2 linked regions of the Drosophila melanogaster genome follow. The protein of the gene in region 1 interacts with the protein of each later gene in a pairwise test. Each region holds a gene or a part of one and is shown on either strand. Other genes may lie near its edges.

Region 1 (11,012 bases):
TTGTATTATGCACGGCATTTATCACAAAGTTGAAATGATTTATTGTTTTCAAATTTAAATTCCGCTTTCTGTTTCGGAATTATGCTAAGTGCTTTAGCATTAGGCAAACCAAAACATGGCTCAAAAAGCGTAAAAAAAAAAATAAAAATAAACCAAAAGCAAAAAACCCACGAAAACAAATGCATTAAATTGCATTTAAAACTAATTAAAATTGTAGACAAGCACTTACGCTAACATTATTTATTATTGTTGTTGCTGCTGCTGCTATTGTGGTGTGTTAAAAAGGTTTGTCGTAATGAGCTTACCTGCAATTAAAAGAACAAATATGGGCAAAAATGTAGTAAGCTGTTTTTTGAAAAACTAAATTGCATTAAGGGCATTTGAGGTTCATTTAAATAAGGCAGCACTTGCAGTGGCCCAACTCAATCAGGAGTCACTCAACTCACATCACATCACACACTACCCCGCCCACTTGGGCACTCATTCATTTATTCATTCACTCGACTCGTTCAGTTAACTCTCTTATTCAGTTGTCCTGTCCACCTGCCTCAGGTAATTTGTTGCTCAGTGACCAACGAGGAAACAAAGGCCCAGAGACATAGAAACGCAATCCCATGTCGAGTCCTTGTGTGTTGGCTGCTGCATCTTTTCCAATCCATACCAAACCAAACCGAATCGAACCCTTTTTGTCTCTGTGCGTCCATAAAAAAGGAGCAGAGGAAAATTGAAATGACATCGAATGAAAACTCCCGTACGTGTCCCAAACAATATAAAAGCCAAGACCGAAAACCCAATCCCAATCCCAATCCCAATCCCGATCCCGAGATCCATGGGGAGTAATCGCTCTTTCTCCGCTCGACGAGACAAAAAGGAAAACCTCTCATGTGGGAGGCACAAAAAAAAAATAAAAACAAAAAGTGAACAAGATGAAAAAAGCCGAAGAAAAGTGTCCAAGTAATCGAGCAACTTCAATTTGCCGGCTATGGTGGAAAAATGAAAATTGTCAACCGAAGCTTCCTCGACTTTTCCCCCTTATGATTCCATTTAGCGCCTGGCACGCCAATTACAATGACAATGAATAATTATTCAAGACCAAAGACCAAATCCCGGACAGGAATTTTAATGCACCAGCTGCTGCTCTCTATTTTTTCCCGCCCCTCTTGCCGTGCCACAAATTTTTCCGTTCCGTGCAAAATTTTAATGAAGTTCATCTCTAGCATTCCACCGAGCAGACCAACGCGCCCTTTGTTGTGCAAATTGTCTTAGCCCTTGGATTGGATTGGGGTATAATTCCAATTGCGAATGCAAATGCATTACCATTAACAAAAGACATTAATTACTTGGCTGAATGAAAAATGGTTGAGTCGAGGGAGACTCTGGCTGCTGGCAGCGCTTCGCCGTTTAATTGCCAAACATTTTTGCACATATGCACAAATTAGTGTGACAATTGTTCGGCTGCGGTAATGATGATGATGATGATGATTATGAAGCTGCCGACGCTGACATCGCTGCATTACAGGCAAACCAATCCAATACGAAAACCACCCAGTCACCAAGCCAGCCAGCCACCCAATTGCAATCCGAAATCCCAAACCAAATCCCGTTGACAATTTTCGCCATTAGGTGGGCGACGACAGGAACCATCGGCATTATATCAATTACCCAACATATCACCCATTCAACCCCGAAAACGCACAGCCATCGGCCATCGATTGTGTGGGACTGCACCTCCTGAAATCGAGCATTGCAATTGATGAAATAATTTGCTGCGCTGACATTTTTGGTTGCCATCGATACTGGGCACGGGCCGACAGGCCGAAACAGATGCAGATGGTAACAGAGTTGTCGATGGACGCCAAATGCCAGGACTATTGCCACGCCCCCTCCTTCATTGTACATCAGCTACCACCGTGCTCATCTATCTATCTACTATATATATCTATGGCGTAACAGCTGCATCAATGATTTGATTTGATTTCCTTAGATAATTGCCAAACTGAAACATGTGCGAGAATTTCGGCCATCCGGAGGAGAGTAGAGTGTCTGTCCCAAGGGTGATATTCGATGATGACGGCAACCACTAAGAATTAATCAGAACGGAATATCAAATTGAGCATCCTAAATAATTTCATTCGCATATAGTTCGAGACCCCAGAGAGTCGAGACCAAGTGTTGAAATGAAGGCATGGAGATTGGGATCGGATTCGGATTCGGGACTTAATAGCTGGATGATGGATGATTTCATTGGGTTGATTTATGCACATGTATGAAGGAAGAATACTGCTGTATGCTGTTTGGTGGAAAACTAAGATATTATTAGCATTTAAAATAACTAATTTTAGTAACGAACGACATTTTGGCAAAGGATTTTATTTATATAATTTTTTTTTGGCGCTATCATTATATTTATGTTCTTGGTTGAGTTAGTAACTCAACTGTTTAACTCGTAAGCTTTTTTGAAGATTGGCGCGTATTTTACATTTTCTATTATTTAGTTACAAAATTTTTGTCGTTTTTTTTGTGTTACATATTTCATGTTTTACGTGTTTTTTTGTGAAGTTTTCTGTGTTTTTTAATAGTTTTTGGTAAAAACCTATTCCCGTACAAATCTTATGAATTGTGTAGTAATAAAATGTTAGCTTTCCTACACTGTACAAAACTGATATTTTTTTTAGATTTTTAAATTTTGTAATTTTTTTGCCATTTTTATTATTTTCTTGCACGCTATGATTTTTTTTTTCCTTTCTTTTTTTTTTTTTTGTTTTGCAATTGTCTTGCTATGAAGCTTGTGAAAACAACTTTAGCCGTTTTGGTACGCAAACATTTGAAACAGTTTGTTGCTTTTTAGCAGATATTTGTGTTTTTTTTGCGACCGACTTTGTGTTGAGATAGGCGTTTGGCATATTTACATGGTCCCTTCACGTTGTGATTTGAAAATCGGCTATTTTCCTACTATACTTATATAATTATCCAACGTCAAATTTAAATTGTTTTAAAAGCGTCCGGCAACTTATGGAAAAAGCACATCCTCATTAGCGCGTAAAAATATTTCTTTGCCTTTTCAGTATGTCTTGAACGTGCCGAGTGTTTTTGGTTTAATTGAGAGTTTTTACGCAATTGGTGGCTTGTCGGCCACAGAGTTATCCTTGAGTCCCATCAGACTGCCGTTGCCAGTACATTCATTGGTCGCATCATAGTTGTTGCTATGGCTTAATACTGGGTGATCTGGTTTGTTGTTGATATCATCCCAAATGGCTGTAGTGGCTTTGTCCACCATTAGTATTGAAGGACGCGGCGATGGTATTGCGCTGTTGGATCTCGAGGAGCCTCGATTCGGTAGCAAACGGTGGTGTTGACCCTCGTAGAGTTCGATCTCTGAGTCCACCGATGGCTGCTGCATCAGTATTGTGGGTCCATCGTAGTCCTCGAATATGGCACTGAGATTCCTCGTCGAATCCAGTCTCCTGTAGCTGGCCACAAAGATGGTTTTGATGCGTTCAAATGTATCCGTATCATACACCGATCGAGCTGTATTCGTCTGATCGAATGGCTCTTCGATGCACAGCTCGTTCCACTGGTGTATATCGTTTTTGGGCGCAGTGGCTGCCCGGCACACCTCTATGGGCAGGACACCACCCACCCGTATCGAGATGGCATACTTTCCGTAATCAAATACACTGTAGTAGTGTAGGAAGCTCAACAGCAAATCACCTAGAGTTTGGCTGTTATCCGACTGATACGGAGCCATCACCTCGTTCATGTCCACATAACCGAAATCGTTGGGCTGCAGGAGACCAAACTTCTCCGGATATAAGTTGTGCAGACATGGAAGCACAGGTGGACTTGCTCCAACCTGCAGGAAATGAATGACCATTAGCATGAGCGAGTAGCTCGATATGGTCATGTTCTTGGCATTGTTAATGTTGTGATACTGGGCCCACTGCTTCACGGTCAATGCCATCGGACGAACTCGCCAATCTAGCTGGGAATAGCAGTATAGAAGATGGGTATTCCTGATCCCAACGGAGTTATTAAAGTTTATGTCCACCTCCACTTTATGGCATCGGTCGGTGAATCGCAGTATTGGCACTCGTGCTTCGATCAAATTGAAATCCTGAAACATATTCGTGCGGCCCAGCAGCTCCTTCATAACATGCAAATGATAGACGGCCTCCATGCGAGAATCAATGTTAGGATTTGTGCAGGCCAGCATGCAAATATCCATGTCCGAGCACTTCGAACCAAAGTACGAAATGGATGAGCCCACCAAATAAAGCCCGTATCTTGGATAGTTTTTCTGTAAAGCGTAATTTAGTTGAAAACTATTGCATTTTACTAAATACTCCCAACGGAACTCACCATGGCCACTGTGTAGATGGCACGCCACAGTCGCATCTTGATCTTGTAAACGTGACGTGTCTGCTGAGACTCGAGGAACTTCTTCCAAACGGACAGGGATAAGGGGTCCCACTTGTTCTTGCAGCCCATCACTTTCGGTGGACGTCTCATTTCCACAAACTTGGCTCGGAGTAAAAAGCGATCGGCTGGCGTGTAACCAAAGAATTCGCGCCAATAACGATTGTGAACCACTAAGGGCAGTTCATCATCATCATTGTTTTCTTCTGGCTTTGGGGATTAGGATAAGAGTGTGGAATGAACAAATTTGCCAAAGGTGCGGAAGTTTTTTTTTTTTGCCAACAAAATGTATTAAGGGACATTTCCACATTTATTTCTTGAAAAAAAATAATGCAAGATTTTATTTTGTAAATCTTATAAAGTGAACTATCAGACAAACAGACGAAAGGAAAAAATAACTTTTCGAAGAAATAAACTTGGTAATTTGCCCATTAAGAAGTACATTTTTGAGTTCACCTACCATTGTAATGTTGGACTTGGATGCCATGGGAGCCAATACACTCTTGCTGGAACTGGCAGATGGACTGCAGGAGAGATTTGAGGCCACCGAGATGTTGTCAGGCTGCTCGGTTATCTCCCTCAAGAAAATGTTCTTCCCACTTTCAATGCCATCCGGCTGATTTTGGTCCAATTTAAACACCAAATCTTCAGAGTGTTGATTCAACATATCGCCGCAGCAGCTCAATCCTCTTGGACTCATTTGCGAATGGTAAGCATAATGCGACTGATGATATGGCCTGTGGGATCTGTAGCCATTGGTTGGGGGGTTCTTTTTGTCCAGCTCCTTGAGATAATGCATATCACCGTAGGGCACCAGATTGGGGCCACTGAAATCGGGCTCCTCAGCCCCGGTGGCCACTGCTAGGCAACTAACCAATATATCGCGCGCCACCGACTCCACGGAAGCATCGCTTAGTTCACTATCGGAATCATCGCTCTCCACACTAGGAGCAAAACTGGCGAGGGATTGATTATCATCGCCATCGACTTCGGAATTTGGATGCGATATCAGGCACGAGTGAGTGTCCAGCTCCGAGGTGTCCTGCTTGATACCGTTCGGCTCCAGGTCGGAGGAGAAGCCGCCATTGGCTGGATCCAGACCCAAGTCAGCAAATTCCTGGCGCTGATCAAAGTCCGAGTCCAGCGGCTGCTCGCCCTCCAAAGTGGCGCTGCTGGCTGTGACTGGAGCTGCTGCTGCTCCTCCACCCTCTGCTGCTCCTCCACCTTCTGCTGCTGCTGCTGTTGCTGCTACTGCTGTTGCTGCTGCTGCTGTTGCTGCTGCTGCTCCAGGAGGTGCCCCGGTGGCTTCTGACACTGGTGATTTTCCTGGTCTTAACCCCACAGGCGGTGCTCCCGCTGCATATACCATATAGTGTCCAGATTGAAAGACATAGCCATCCATGTGTCGCGATTGGTAGAAACGAGACTGTTGCCTACCGGCAGCAGTATGTGCTTGATAGGCATTTGATCCTTGGAACTTAGAAGTTCTTCGCACTGTTGATGTCGATTGCTGCGGTGGCTGGTAGTTACTTATTGGAACGGTCGTGGTCGCCGCCTTTTGCTCAGTTGGCTCTGTTGCAGTATAACGCATCCGGTTTCTATAATTGCGATGTGGATGCTTGATTGGTGAAATAGAGGAGCTCGAGCTGGGACGCTTGTTTAGCTGGGACTTTGAGGATGAATTGGAAAGCGATTCTGATGAGTTGGATGTCAGCTCTTTTCCAACCGAATTCTTGCCTCCTTTTTTGGCATTGTGACGATTTCTGTGATTATTTTGGGTCGCAGCTCCTTGATGGTTGCGTTTGGTGGCCACGTTCTGATCGCTGGAGCTAGCTGCTCCAGTTGCAGGTGCACTTGTGCCCACTACTGCTGTGGTTGCGGCTCCTCCGGCTGCGACAGTTGCTACAGCTCCTGCTTGAAAATTACGTACATTTGCCACAAAGGGTGCTTTAAATCGAGGACCGTTAGCCATACCACTGCCGATGCTGTTGTAAAAACTCTTAGAATCTCTGTGCAACAAAGCTGGTGCTGCTGCAGTGGGCACCGCATGTCGTCCGCGGTGTGTTCCTGGTCTTCCGTAACGCCACGTGCTGCTCACCTGCGGAGCGTTTCCAAGTGTCGCTGGAGCTTCCTCGCTACTTTCCGTTGTTCCCACGGCTGGCTGAGTCAGTATATGTGGCTGTTGGGTCACCGGACGATTAGTTCTTGTCAGTCCCGCCACCGCAGCAGGATTAATTCCCGGAGGAGTCTGATTGTAATAGCCCGGGTATATTATTCTCTGCCCATACGGATGCTCAAAGCCCACTGGCATCATGGGTATTCCATATGGCGGTGAGTATGCCTGATTGTAAGGATAATTTCTATCAAACTGCCACACTGCGTTTTCTGCGTGCCACAAGCGACGCTGCGGTCCAGTGGGCATATATCCCTGGCATATGAACTGAGCAGCTTGCAAGCCCGCTGCTGGCAAGCCACTAGATGAAACTGAACTTGTTATTGCCTCGGCTCCCGATCCCGGAGAGCCACTTGATGTTGTAACTGTAGTGGATGGTGTCGTGGATGCTGCTACCGTGGTACCGTTTGAGCCTCCAGCAGATCCTGGGTAGCGAATGCCTGACGGACGTGATGGTGCCACGCCCATATTGGTCAGCAAAGGCATGTGGGTGGTTAGTAAGGGGGCCGTGGATCGTACGGTGCGAGGTGTTATCGATGAGGGCGTTGGTATATTCAGTGGTATGCCGGCCATGCCACTGCCGATCCCGTAGAGAAACTCCATAGAGTACTTGTAGCCACCCGGTGGACGGGGACAGGTGTGCACCACTGTCGTTTTGCGCTGCTCGAGTGGTTTCGCAGCACCATGCTCCAAATCTTCGGGCTCATTCCTTCCAGAATCTTCGATTTCGAGTGCTTTGGGAGCCATATTTGAAGCTGGTTCCAGTGGCACCTCTGATGTCGTTATGGTCTTCGTGGTGGTGTTTATGGTGTTTGTTGTTGCCGGTGACGCTGTAGTGTTTGTGGAGTTGCTAATGGCCGTTGTTGTTGCTGTTGCTGCCGCGGCACTCGACGATGCCGCTGCTGCCATTGCCATTGCAGTGGACATAGCTACCGATACGGCCTAATCACGAGCCAAACGACATATATCTATATATATGTGCGTACGCAAACGCAGATTGCTAAAGAATATGTTGTGTGTCCGGTACCTCAATCTGTCACTCCTAGTATGCAAAGAGTTGACAGCAAACTGAAGGCCAGACAAGGAGCCTCGAAATTTCGGGCTCTTAGATGGGCAATTGGAAACGAGAGCTCTGGAAAAGCCAGAGACCCACATGAGGGAATATATATTACAAGTGCTATCGCATTCCTCATACCTTAATGGTCCGGTTTTAAGGGCTTCATTATGTTTAATGCCTGGGATCTACAATAATTTGTTTTGCTTCCGCAATTTTAGTTTTTGAGTAGATAACATTCGCCTATTTCGTGGTCCGTTGTTACAAAAAATATCCACGTTTTCAGATGGCAAACACAGTTGGTACAGAAATTTAACACGATTTTCACTAGGATTGTTCACGGTTAGTACAAGTAAAAAAAAGTGCTCGTCATTCCTAATTCGATAGGAATCTGGCCAAAAGTATTGGTAAGTGCGTCTAATGTCACACTGAAAATCGATTGTTTTCTAGTGTTGGGCAAAAAAAAAAAAATGCACAAGTGGCACACTTATTGGACACTTTCACTTCAAAGTATTCACACTCTTTCTTTCTGGGTGGCAATCCTTTTAACTTTCTCCACTTACCACTTGAGCTAAATTTCCCCTACGCCACATTGACTAAAACAAAGAAGGCTTTCGGAAAAAGCTGACACATTTCTAAAAACAAGAAGAAAATAAAAAGAGAAAATCTGCGCCATCCACTTAACATAGTTCCATTCAAAGCTGAGCTCAGACTCCTTTTTCCGCTCGCTTCCATTGTCTTCATATTACGTTTACAATTTGATTTGCTTATGTAAATTATGAAGATTACCCACAAAAAGCAACCGCAGTTTCAAGGATTCAAAAATTCAATTCGATTTGCCGGCTCAGCCGAAAAAATGCAACCGAAAGATGGTGAAGGAGAAGAAATTGCGTTCTTCTGTAATTTGAAACAAATCAAATTTATTACCCCAGACGCAACGGCGCCATTGGCAATTTTCAGATGCGGCCAGATGCGGTGAGCATATGAAATGAGCCCATTGAAGAGGGGGGACGGAGGATGAATGGAATTGGTTTAGTCTACGTGCATATTCAGATACGGGCCCCGAAACGCTCACATATTCTAATTAGATTTATAACGCAACAATAACTGTGCTGTGCCTGCATTATGCCCCTTTCTCAGGGCCAGATTTTCAAATTTAAAACTTTCAGTGAATTATGGTCAGTGGCAGAACAATGGGGTGCGGCAGGTACACTTAGAAAACAGTTTACATGGTGATTCAAGTTTGGCCATATTGTCAAAAATGTATATTTAAAACTATTATAAATGGAAAGGTGTGGACAGCAAGGTTAGCATAAGCTTTCTCACAGTGTATATAGTCAAGTGAAGAGATAAACCAACAAAAATTCGTTTCTCTGTCATAAAATTCTACGTGGAATTCGGTTGAGTCATGCCATATTAGGGGACTAACCCCCTCCGCCTCATAAAACATCCTTCTCATTTAATGCTGTGTGACGCGTGTTACAGATTTTCGATTTAGCACACACCCAAAGACACTTTTTTTTTGAGATCCCTTTGCCGAACTAAAAATTAGCCTCGAAACAGAAATGGGCAAAAAAAAAGTTTCATATTACATGCAAGCAATTTGGCAAATAAACTGTCAGCAGCACTGAGGGATATAAAAAAAGGGGGCGGGAGGCGTGTGCTGTATATATATATATATATATATATATGAATGTATATATGTACTATGCAATGAAGATGCTCGGGCAGCCAGTCATCGATTGAAGGTCTGAATAATTCACAGAGAGCCAAGAAAAATGCCATGGCCCGTGTCCCCGGGGGAAAACGCAGGATAAATAAGGCAGCGGCCAGGGGTGGAGAGCTGTGAGTCCCCGGGGTTGGATGCTCACATTTCTTACCCACCCAAAATACGTACTTTTCATTTTTTGTACGACCCTGGAAAAATCCTAGACATTGACTTTTTATATTCGAAAATCCATTTCGTTGCGCTAAGGACAATAAAGCGTGGCAGGTAATTAGATTAAACTAATTTCGGTTTCTCTTTTTTATTGCCAATCAGTGACGACGTAACGAATTCCTTTTGTTTTTTTTTTTTTTTGTGTTTTTGCCATTTTGGTTAATAATTTTATTAGTGTTTCCCTTGTCAAAGTGGCGGAGTTGACAGCCGATTGCCGCATTGCAACAGTGCCGCGGCATATTTTTGTATCTGTGGCATGAATCGCCGTCCCTTTATCGGGATGTGTGTGCGAAAAGCAAATAATTAATAATTCATGCAACACGATTGACAGTGCGCCCCAGTTGAACTCGTTGGTCCTTTTTTTTTTGCGCTGTAGTACTGTGTAGTACTGGTGCCTCCTTTTTATTTGTGGCACGCTCATAAATTTACAATTACACATGCCAGAGTGGAGACGGCGGTGCGCAGTTGCCTCCTTTTGCGTTGTTTTTAATTTAATAAATTAATAAAACGGGAAACGTGACAACACTGGCATCAAAGTGGCAAAGTGTCGCCATTTGCATTTTTAATGCACTTTACCCTGCAACTCGGCGCGTAAAAATAATTATCAACTGAATCGACGATGAGTTGGCGAAAAACCGAAAGACAGACAGCGGACCTACCGATTGCAGTGAAATTTTTAATTGAATTTTCTCAACATGCGTGTCAACTCTAACACTCTGTCAAAAACACACCGTACATTTTAGGAACACAACAAATTTCAATTCAATTTTACTTTCAATTGCAGTTAATTGCTCGCCCGCAAGCTAGAAAAGGAAAATGAAATGGAAAACAAAATTTAAACTCCAGCACGGACAATTTATGAGTGCGGCAGAAAATTGTACTTTTCCTTTTGGCACACTTTAACACACAATGGTGGCGTCTCCTCACCGGCTCACCTGCTGAACGCAGTTAACCCCAATTACGGGCACAAAGACCAAGACCCGGCCCAGACAACCAGACAGACAGACAGCCAGCCAACTAGTAGCTCTGGCAGTAGTTAAAATATTTAAGCCACAACACGGCGTGGAGAAAAATGTAAGTAAGATGGAATGCTGCCGCAGGCATTAAAATAATAAGGATAAGGAAGCGGTTGTTAACCACGAAACCGCTCAAAAATGAATGAATGAATGCCGGCCAGGAGCCGGAGTTGCTTGTCCGGGCATGGAGTCGCGTGCTCCATTCTCCATTCTCGATACTCCAGGGCGAAAGCGAGTGAGTGACTCCTGAGCTGAGCTCCTCGTTCGGACTTTGTTCATTATGCGTTTCCTGTTTGCATAAGACCGAAAAAGCGAAAAACCCGTAGTAATTGTTCTCCGCCACTGCGGCTGGCAGTTGGCGATACCTTCGGGTGGGTTGCTGCCCCATTGTGACCGGCGTTAAATTTCGAAAGT
Region 2 (6,423 bases), on another chromosome or scaffold:
GCTGCTAAATGATATATTGAAACATACGACAAGTGGCAATGCGGACCACGGACGTTTGGAGGAGGCTCTGAAGGCCATCAAGCAGGTGACACTGCACATCAACGAGGATAAAAGGCGGACCGAATCGCGCATGGCCATCTTCGATATATTCAACGATATCGAAGGATGTCCGGCGCATTTAGTGAGTTCCAACCGCAGCTTTATTTTGAAGTGTGAGGTGAACGAGCTCTCCGATTCGCTGAGCGGTCGTGGTGATAGCCTGGTCCTGTACCTGTTCTCCGATTCCATTGAGCTATGCAAGCGGCGTTCTAAAGGATTCAACACTGCAAAATCGCCAAGCACGGCCAAGACGCATAAGCATCTCAAGCTGATATCTTTGAATACGATCCGGTTAGTGATTGACATCTCGGATAGTCCAAGAGCTTTTGGTTTGCTCTTGCGGGGCGATAAGGAGAAGCTCTATACGTTTACGATCAGTGATGAGGAGACAGATAAGTCGGTCTACGTAAAGAAATTGTGCAACCAGATTGCAGCCCACACCTGCCGTACTGATGCGGTAAGTGGTAGCATACATAGATAGTTTTATGTTCTGAAATTCATGTTCTTATTCTTGTTTTGCAGGACAAACTTTTGATTTGTCGCACCTCCCAGGAACTGGAGGTGGACATAAGTGATGTGAATGTCAGCACGCTCAGCAAAGCCTTTAAACTGGCGGCCAAAACGCGACTCAAGGTGGGTCCTCAAAACTTTTTCAGCTTAAAACTTTTCTAATACTAATTTTCGTTCTTTTAGGTGGGTCGTGCTTTCTCCTTTAACAAAACGCCCAACAAACTGAAACGGGCCGTATCCACGATGATGACTTCGCCGTTTGGCAGCACCAACTCTCTAACACCTGCCTCTCAATTGGCCCAGATGCGTTTGGCCAGCTGCACGAATATAAATGTGTGTACAACTACAGCATCGATGTGAACAAAAACTGATGTATAATTATATTTTTATAGGAGGTTGATGATGAGGACTGTGCAAGCATGCGAAGCAGTTCGCCGTCAACACAATCCGAGATGCTAGTGGTACCGCCACTTTCGGTGCAACCCACGCGGAAAAACAAGGCCGTTGTGGGCCGCATTTAGAGCTGATGATGATGATGACTCCACAGTCAAATTGTGTATTCCATTTTGGAAGTCTCTTTTTGGAGAGACTCGCTTGCAGTGCTATTCCTTGAGCATTGGTCGCCCATGTCCGAGTGCATATACAAGCTTCGAATTCGTAATCTCACAACACAACCAGAAACAAATTATCGAGCGTCCAATATTGTTTAGATTGTAAAATGTATTGTTAAGTTGCACCTGTCGATAGGAAGGCTCGCAAATGTTGAAGCGTTTGCCCGAGCTGTCGATTGATCATGATTAACTTGTAAATAGTTCTCCATATGTGTACTCCCGTGCCCGTATAATTGTGTCGCGTCGCTAAATGTAATCAACTACTCATTGCAGTGACTAGGGATCGAATTCACGCACGCACCGAACGATCGATTCGGATGGTTTTCGGTCGGATGATCGCCACACCGCAACAAGCTGTGAATGTTTACTGAGTAAATTTTTTAAAAACCCTATCTTACCATATTGATTATAACTCAACGATTTTGCTTGAGTAGGCAATTACGACCCTAAGTCGTAAGGCGTTCAAAGCATGAAGATGTTTAAGTTAATATATGAACAATGATTAAAGGAAAACATTTTTAAATCAAAGCATTTTTTATTCTTAGCTTTGAAGCTGCAAAGTAGGCAACGAATTACACAAACTTCGACAGTTACCACAATCTCACCCGAAAAGATGCAATTGTTGCGCATAGAAAATTAGGTTTTTAATTTAGTCTATAGAACAATTTTGTAGGGGCAATTCCAAGTAAATATTCATATACACCAAGCCAATCATATCTTCCACACTTACGAATCTGGTGTACAAAAATAAAAATATACTAACGTAGAGGACCTAAACAATCGCTTTCAGAGTGTATAAACCGATTTGACGCCCGAATTGAATTTGGACATTGCATCGGAATGAAGTTGATACTGCAAACTATGCGATTGCAAATGAAGGAGTATCTTCAGCTTCTGGCCGATCTCCAGAATGGCCATTTCGTTACTCCCGTTGGCAGTCCAAACCGCTGTAATAGATACAGTTTTTTATCAATGTGCAGAACACATTTGATAAACTTACAGATTTTGTTGCTCTTGTTACGTATATTGATGACAGCTCCGCAGATCTCGTCGGAGTATTCAAAATTTTGGCCCACCATCAGCAGTAGAATGTCCAGCCAAATTTGATCCAATTCCGCTTTGGCACTCTTACTCACGGTGACCAGCCAGCGACCACCCTTGATGTTGGCTTCATCCTCCCACATGGGTCTTTGGGAGTAGAGGATTTAAGTTAGCATCTCTCAATGAACAATGATTTATTCGTACTTTATGCCCTTCTTGAACACGGAGTAATCGCATCCAATCTTCAGCTCCGCTGGGGTCTTGATGGTATGGTACAAGCTCCAGAAGGTCTCCACACTGTCAATCTCGGTAATCTCGTTTAGCATGTCCTTCCAGTGCTTGGTGCGATCGTTTTCCAAATACCACAAAGTCCACACATGCTCCAAAGGATGCTTGTACTCGACTTGGTATATCTCTTCATCGATAGGTTCTGGGCTATTGCTCTCCAGTGGAACACCTTCGTGGTGATGATGATGCTTATGGATACTATTCAGCTGATGTTGCTGATCCTGCTGCTTCATAATATCAAAACTTTGCACTTGTGCACTGGCCATGTTGTTGGTTGACTTGTTTTTTTTTTTTCGATACGAACAGGTAACCTTAATTTATTTGCTGACGGCTGTGTTCTCAACGAATTTTGTCGCGATTCGAGTGGGAATTGCTTACTAATAACCAAAAATACTTTAGCACATTTTTCTAGACCTAAACGAAACCTGTCGAAAAGAAGGAAATGAAATGACAATGACACCTGGGTGTAAGCATACTATGCTGGTTTTTTCTTTTAATATAAATTATTTTTATTCATTTATAAATACTGCAAAACTTAAGACAAATCAATTTACATATTGTTAACATAGAAATGCGCGCTTGGTCCTTAAAAAAAAAAATAATAACATACAAAATGAAAATGTATGCACTCTATTCCAATGGTCAATTAAACACTAAGCGGAGGCACTAGAGAAAACAAATCGAAACAGCTACGGGGTGTTCAAAATAAAAAAAAACACGGTTTTCGTAACCATATTTGAAAAGATTCTCAATTCTTTTAGAAATACGTTAATAAATTATCTCAAGGCTGGTTTTGAATCATCCACCCGTCTAGACCCATAAAACAGCGGCTGCATCCTCGTTGGACAAAGTGGAGAAGCGCTGGTAGCGATTCGCATTGCGATAGGTTTTCGAGGGCGATGGAGCGGTTGATATCTGAGCTTGAACCTGTACTTGAACTTGAGTCTGATTTTGCATGGGCAGCCCCACCATATTTAATCCGGACTTTAGTGTGGAGTTCCTGCTGTCCGAGGACATGGACAGGCGTCGCTGGTTTCCATTCATCAAGGTGGAACTCAGGGGCAAGCCGACATCGTGAAAGGAGCTAATCGAACTGAAGCCACTCTCATCCTCGGTACTGGAACCGCTCTGCTTATTGCTGGTGGTTTTGTTATTGCTATTGCTGATGGCTGTGTTGCTGGCGGTGGTCTGTGTCTGCGTCTCCTCATCCGTTTCCACTTTCGAGGAGGAGGATGCCGTCGACGAGATGGTGGAATGCACGGAACTGTCGGTGGAGCTGCGCAACGATAGCCTCGAGTCGCGCATGTTGTTGGCCCGCAGAAAGATGAGTTCCGCATTTGATTTCCCGCCCGGTGATGGAGTCTCCAGTGTGGCACTCATGATACTGGTGGAATTGTGCAATGGTGGCGTCAGTAGTGTCATCACCGAACTGGTTTTCCCCTTGCATAGGCGGTGATTTCCCGAGGGCAGCGATGAAATGGAAGCGAGCGAGTGGCGCGGCTGCGTGAGATCTGGTTGCTGTTCCGAGGTGTGCAAAAGATTCCTTATGGTTCTGGCCAAACGAAAGGCCTCCTGATTCAGCTTTTCCTCGGCTGCCTCAGGAGCCGATAGACGTGACTTGCAACCGCCACTGCCTCCAGACTTCTTCGGGGATCGACGCCTTTGGCAGAGAGAAGACATTTCGTTATTAATTGTTTGAAAATTATTAGCACTGCTATTGATCTCCCCTTACCATGTAAAATCCTTGAAGGCATTATAGCTTCCAGCTGGTGCAATCGTCTCGTAATTGTGCTCCTCGTCCATGGCATGCATTGATTTATTCAACATCAAATTGGTGCTGCTCCGGGCGCGTAGATATGAAGCTGATCCGCCGCTGGAGGCGTCATCATCCCGAGCATCGCTCTGCAGGGAGGTGTTGCCCACTCCGTGGACATGATGCAGACTCTTGGAGCGGGCAATCTGCTCTCCATTGCGTTGGGTCTGCTGGAGTTGTTGCTGCAACTGGTAGCGCTCAAAGAAGCGGGCCACCTCCTCCATCACCGCTCGGTACATCTCGCAATTGGTTTCGGTCTGAAATTTAGGATTATAAAGTGATTTAGAATACTTAGGGATTGATAAGTGGTAGTTTTTACGCATAATGAAGATAGATTAGATAGATATTGTATCTTTCTTTGGGAATGTAACTTTAGAAACGTGTGGCCCATATTTTAGGTGAGCTTTCAGCTCTTCATGTAAATCTCATTCAATCGACCTTTCTCCGGCTAACTCAGCTTGTATTTCCCCTCCAAAACTTACAGCTTTGCTCCAATGTGCCAGGTCATTGCTTTGACACATTGATAATGCATTTGAACCGATGACTTTAATTTATTATTTATGTTAATTGTAAATGATTTTGCTTGGCAGCAAACATTTGTAGAGCAGCAGCATCGGCATCAGCATCATCATCAGCCTATAAAAACTTTCACTTGATTTTTTATCGCGCCCCTTTACTCTGCGCGCATTTCTCTACTTCATTGTGCTGTGGGTCTTTGGGCCATATCAGCATCATTGGCCAAGTTGATTGGGGGGGAATGTCGCTTTTGGTTAACTTCTGTGGGCCAAATTGTCTAATTATCAAATGCCATTCGAGTCTATGGCGCTTGCCAAATTGGCAGAGACCTCAAAAAGGCGTTAAGATTGCCGATTGCCATCACCTGGCAGGCAGGCACACGCCCACCTCCCGGGCCATTTGAAATTTGGCCAAAACGGGTGGGCATGCAGTTTATATGTACATATATATGTGTGTATATCTGCTGGTTTTTTGGGGAGGCTTCACACGATGCCAAAATAGTTGGTGTCTGGCTGATTATGTAAGTTGGCGATGCAGTCGTTGCTATTGCTATTGCAACGCTTGGAAATTGTTGCTAATTTTTCATTGGACGTTTTTCCGTTTTCGGAGGTTTTCCTACTGCGTGTTCGCCAGAGGTTTTCATTCGAATTACGAATTGTTTTCGTGTGTCTGAGATTTATTTGAAAATGATGTGGAAATTGTTGCCGGCGCGCACTGCTGCTGCTGCTGCTGCTGTATTTGATTTCGATTTTGTTATGCTTTGTTTAATTTCATTAATGCCCAAAGTGTTTTTAGCCATCGTCGAGCAATTGGAGCTGAGAGGATTCGGGTACGAATTTTTCCGATTCCGATTCGGACTCGCTTGGCCTGCCAGCAGCTTCCCATTGAACGCATTTCCTGGCTACACCGGTCGGTTTAGTCTGGGATCTTACCGGTGCATAAATTAAATGCGGTTCCCTCCCATCGACTGCATCGTCTACTCAATCAATCAATCAATCAATCTCGCCAGGGTTCCACCCACGCCTGCATGGTTTTTCTTTTCATTTATAATGGCCAAAATGTTTTTCCATCGCGGTTTTCCTGCCTTCTAACCCAGTTTTCCGTTCGCCAAACAAGAAACGGACCAAGCTACAGAAAATATTTATCTTTTCTTATTATTTTCATGTTTTTTTTTTCTGGTCACTGCTTTGTTTTCTTTTTTGCAATTTTCCAAGGCGAAGACCGCCGGCTTTCCAAGTCAACTTCATTGGGGCTCATTTAAAAGCGCATTAAATCGAAATGAAAGCGTAAATATTTTCGCTCTTTCAGCGGCATCCGTTGGGTGATTATGCGTTGCATAGAATAGCCTCGAATTGAAAGTGTTCGAAAGGGGAGAAACTGATCAGGTTGGACTCCAGATCTCAGCGTATCCAATGTGAACGTTGAAGGTCATTTCGTCGATTTCGAGTTCAAAGTTTGTTTCGGTCAATTGGGAGCAAAGCCGGCTTAGTGCACTGGTCTAGTTTTCGATTGGGAAAAATCTCAGATAGTTGGGAAAAACTAGTC

Evidence for each region. Proteins that work in one complex are often made in the same cells at the same time.
Region 2: the proteins of Gld2 (region 1) and eIF4E5 interact in a two-hybrid assay, tested with the Drosophila melanogaster proteins (one large-scale study listed by BioGRID).

What each region holds. Positions count from the first base shown.
Region 1 is NT_033777.3:22,208,794-22,219,805, reverse strand, and holds Gld2 (GLD2 poly(A) polymerase), read right to left. Parts: upstream 7,983-11,012; 5' UTR 7,785-7,982; intron 7,722-7,784; 5' UTR 7,517-7,721; coding exon 4,877-7,516; intron 4,627-4,876; coding exon 4,360-4,626; intron 4,298-4,359; coding exon 3,110-4,297; 3' UTR 2,391-3,109; downstream 1-2,390. UniProt on the Drosophila melanogaster protein: Cytoplasmic poly(A) RNA polymerase that adds successive AMP monomers to the 3'-end of specific RNAs, forming a poly(A) tail. In contrast to the canonical nuclear poly(A) RNA polymerase, it only adds poly(A) to selected cytoplasmic mRNAs.
Region 2 is NT_037436.4:7,891,431-7,897,853, reverse strand, and holds eIF4E5 (eukaryotic translation initiation factor 4E5), read right to left. Parts: upstream 2,975-6,423; 5' UTR 2,816-2,974; coding exon 2,466-2,815; intron 2,409-2,465; coding exon 2,221-2,408; intron 2,168-2,220; coding exon 2,007-2,167; 3' UTR 1,845-2,006; downstream 1-1,844. Other genes in the region: pbl (pebble), read left to right, coding at 1-556, 622-732, 793-942, 1,002-1,130; CG32365 (uncharacterized protein), read right to left, coding at 3,360-4,209, 4,282-4,619.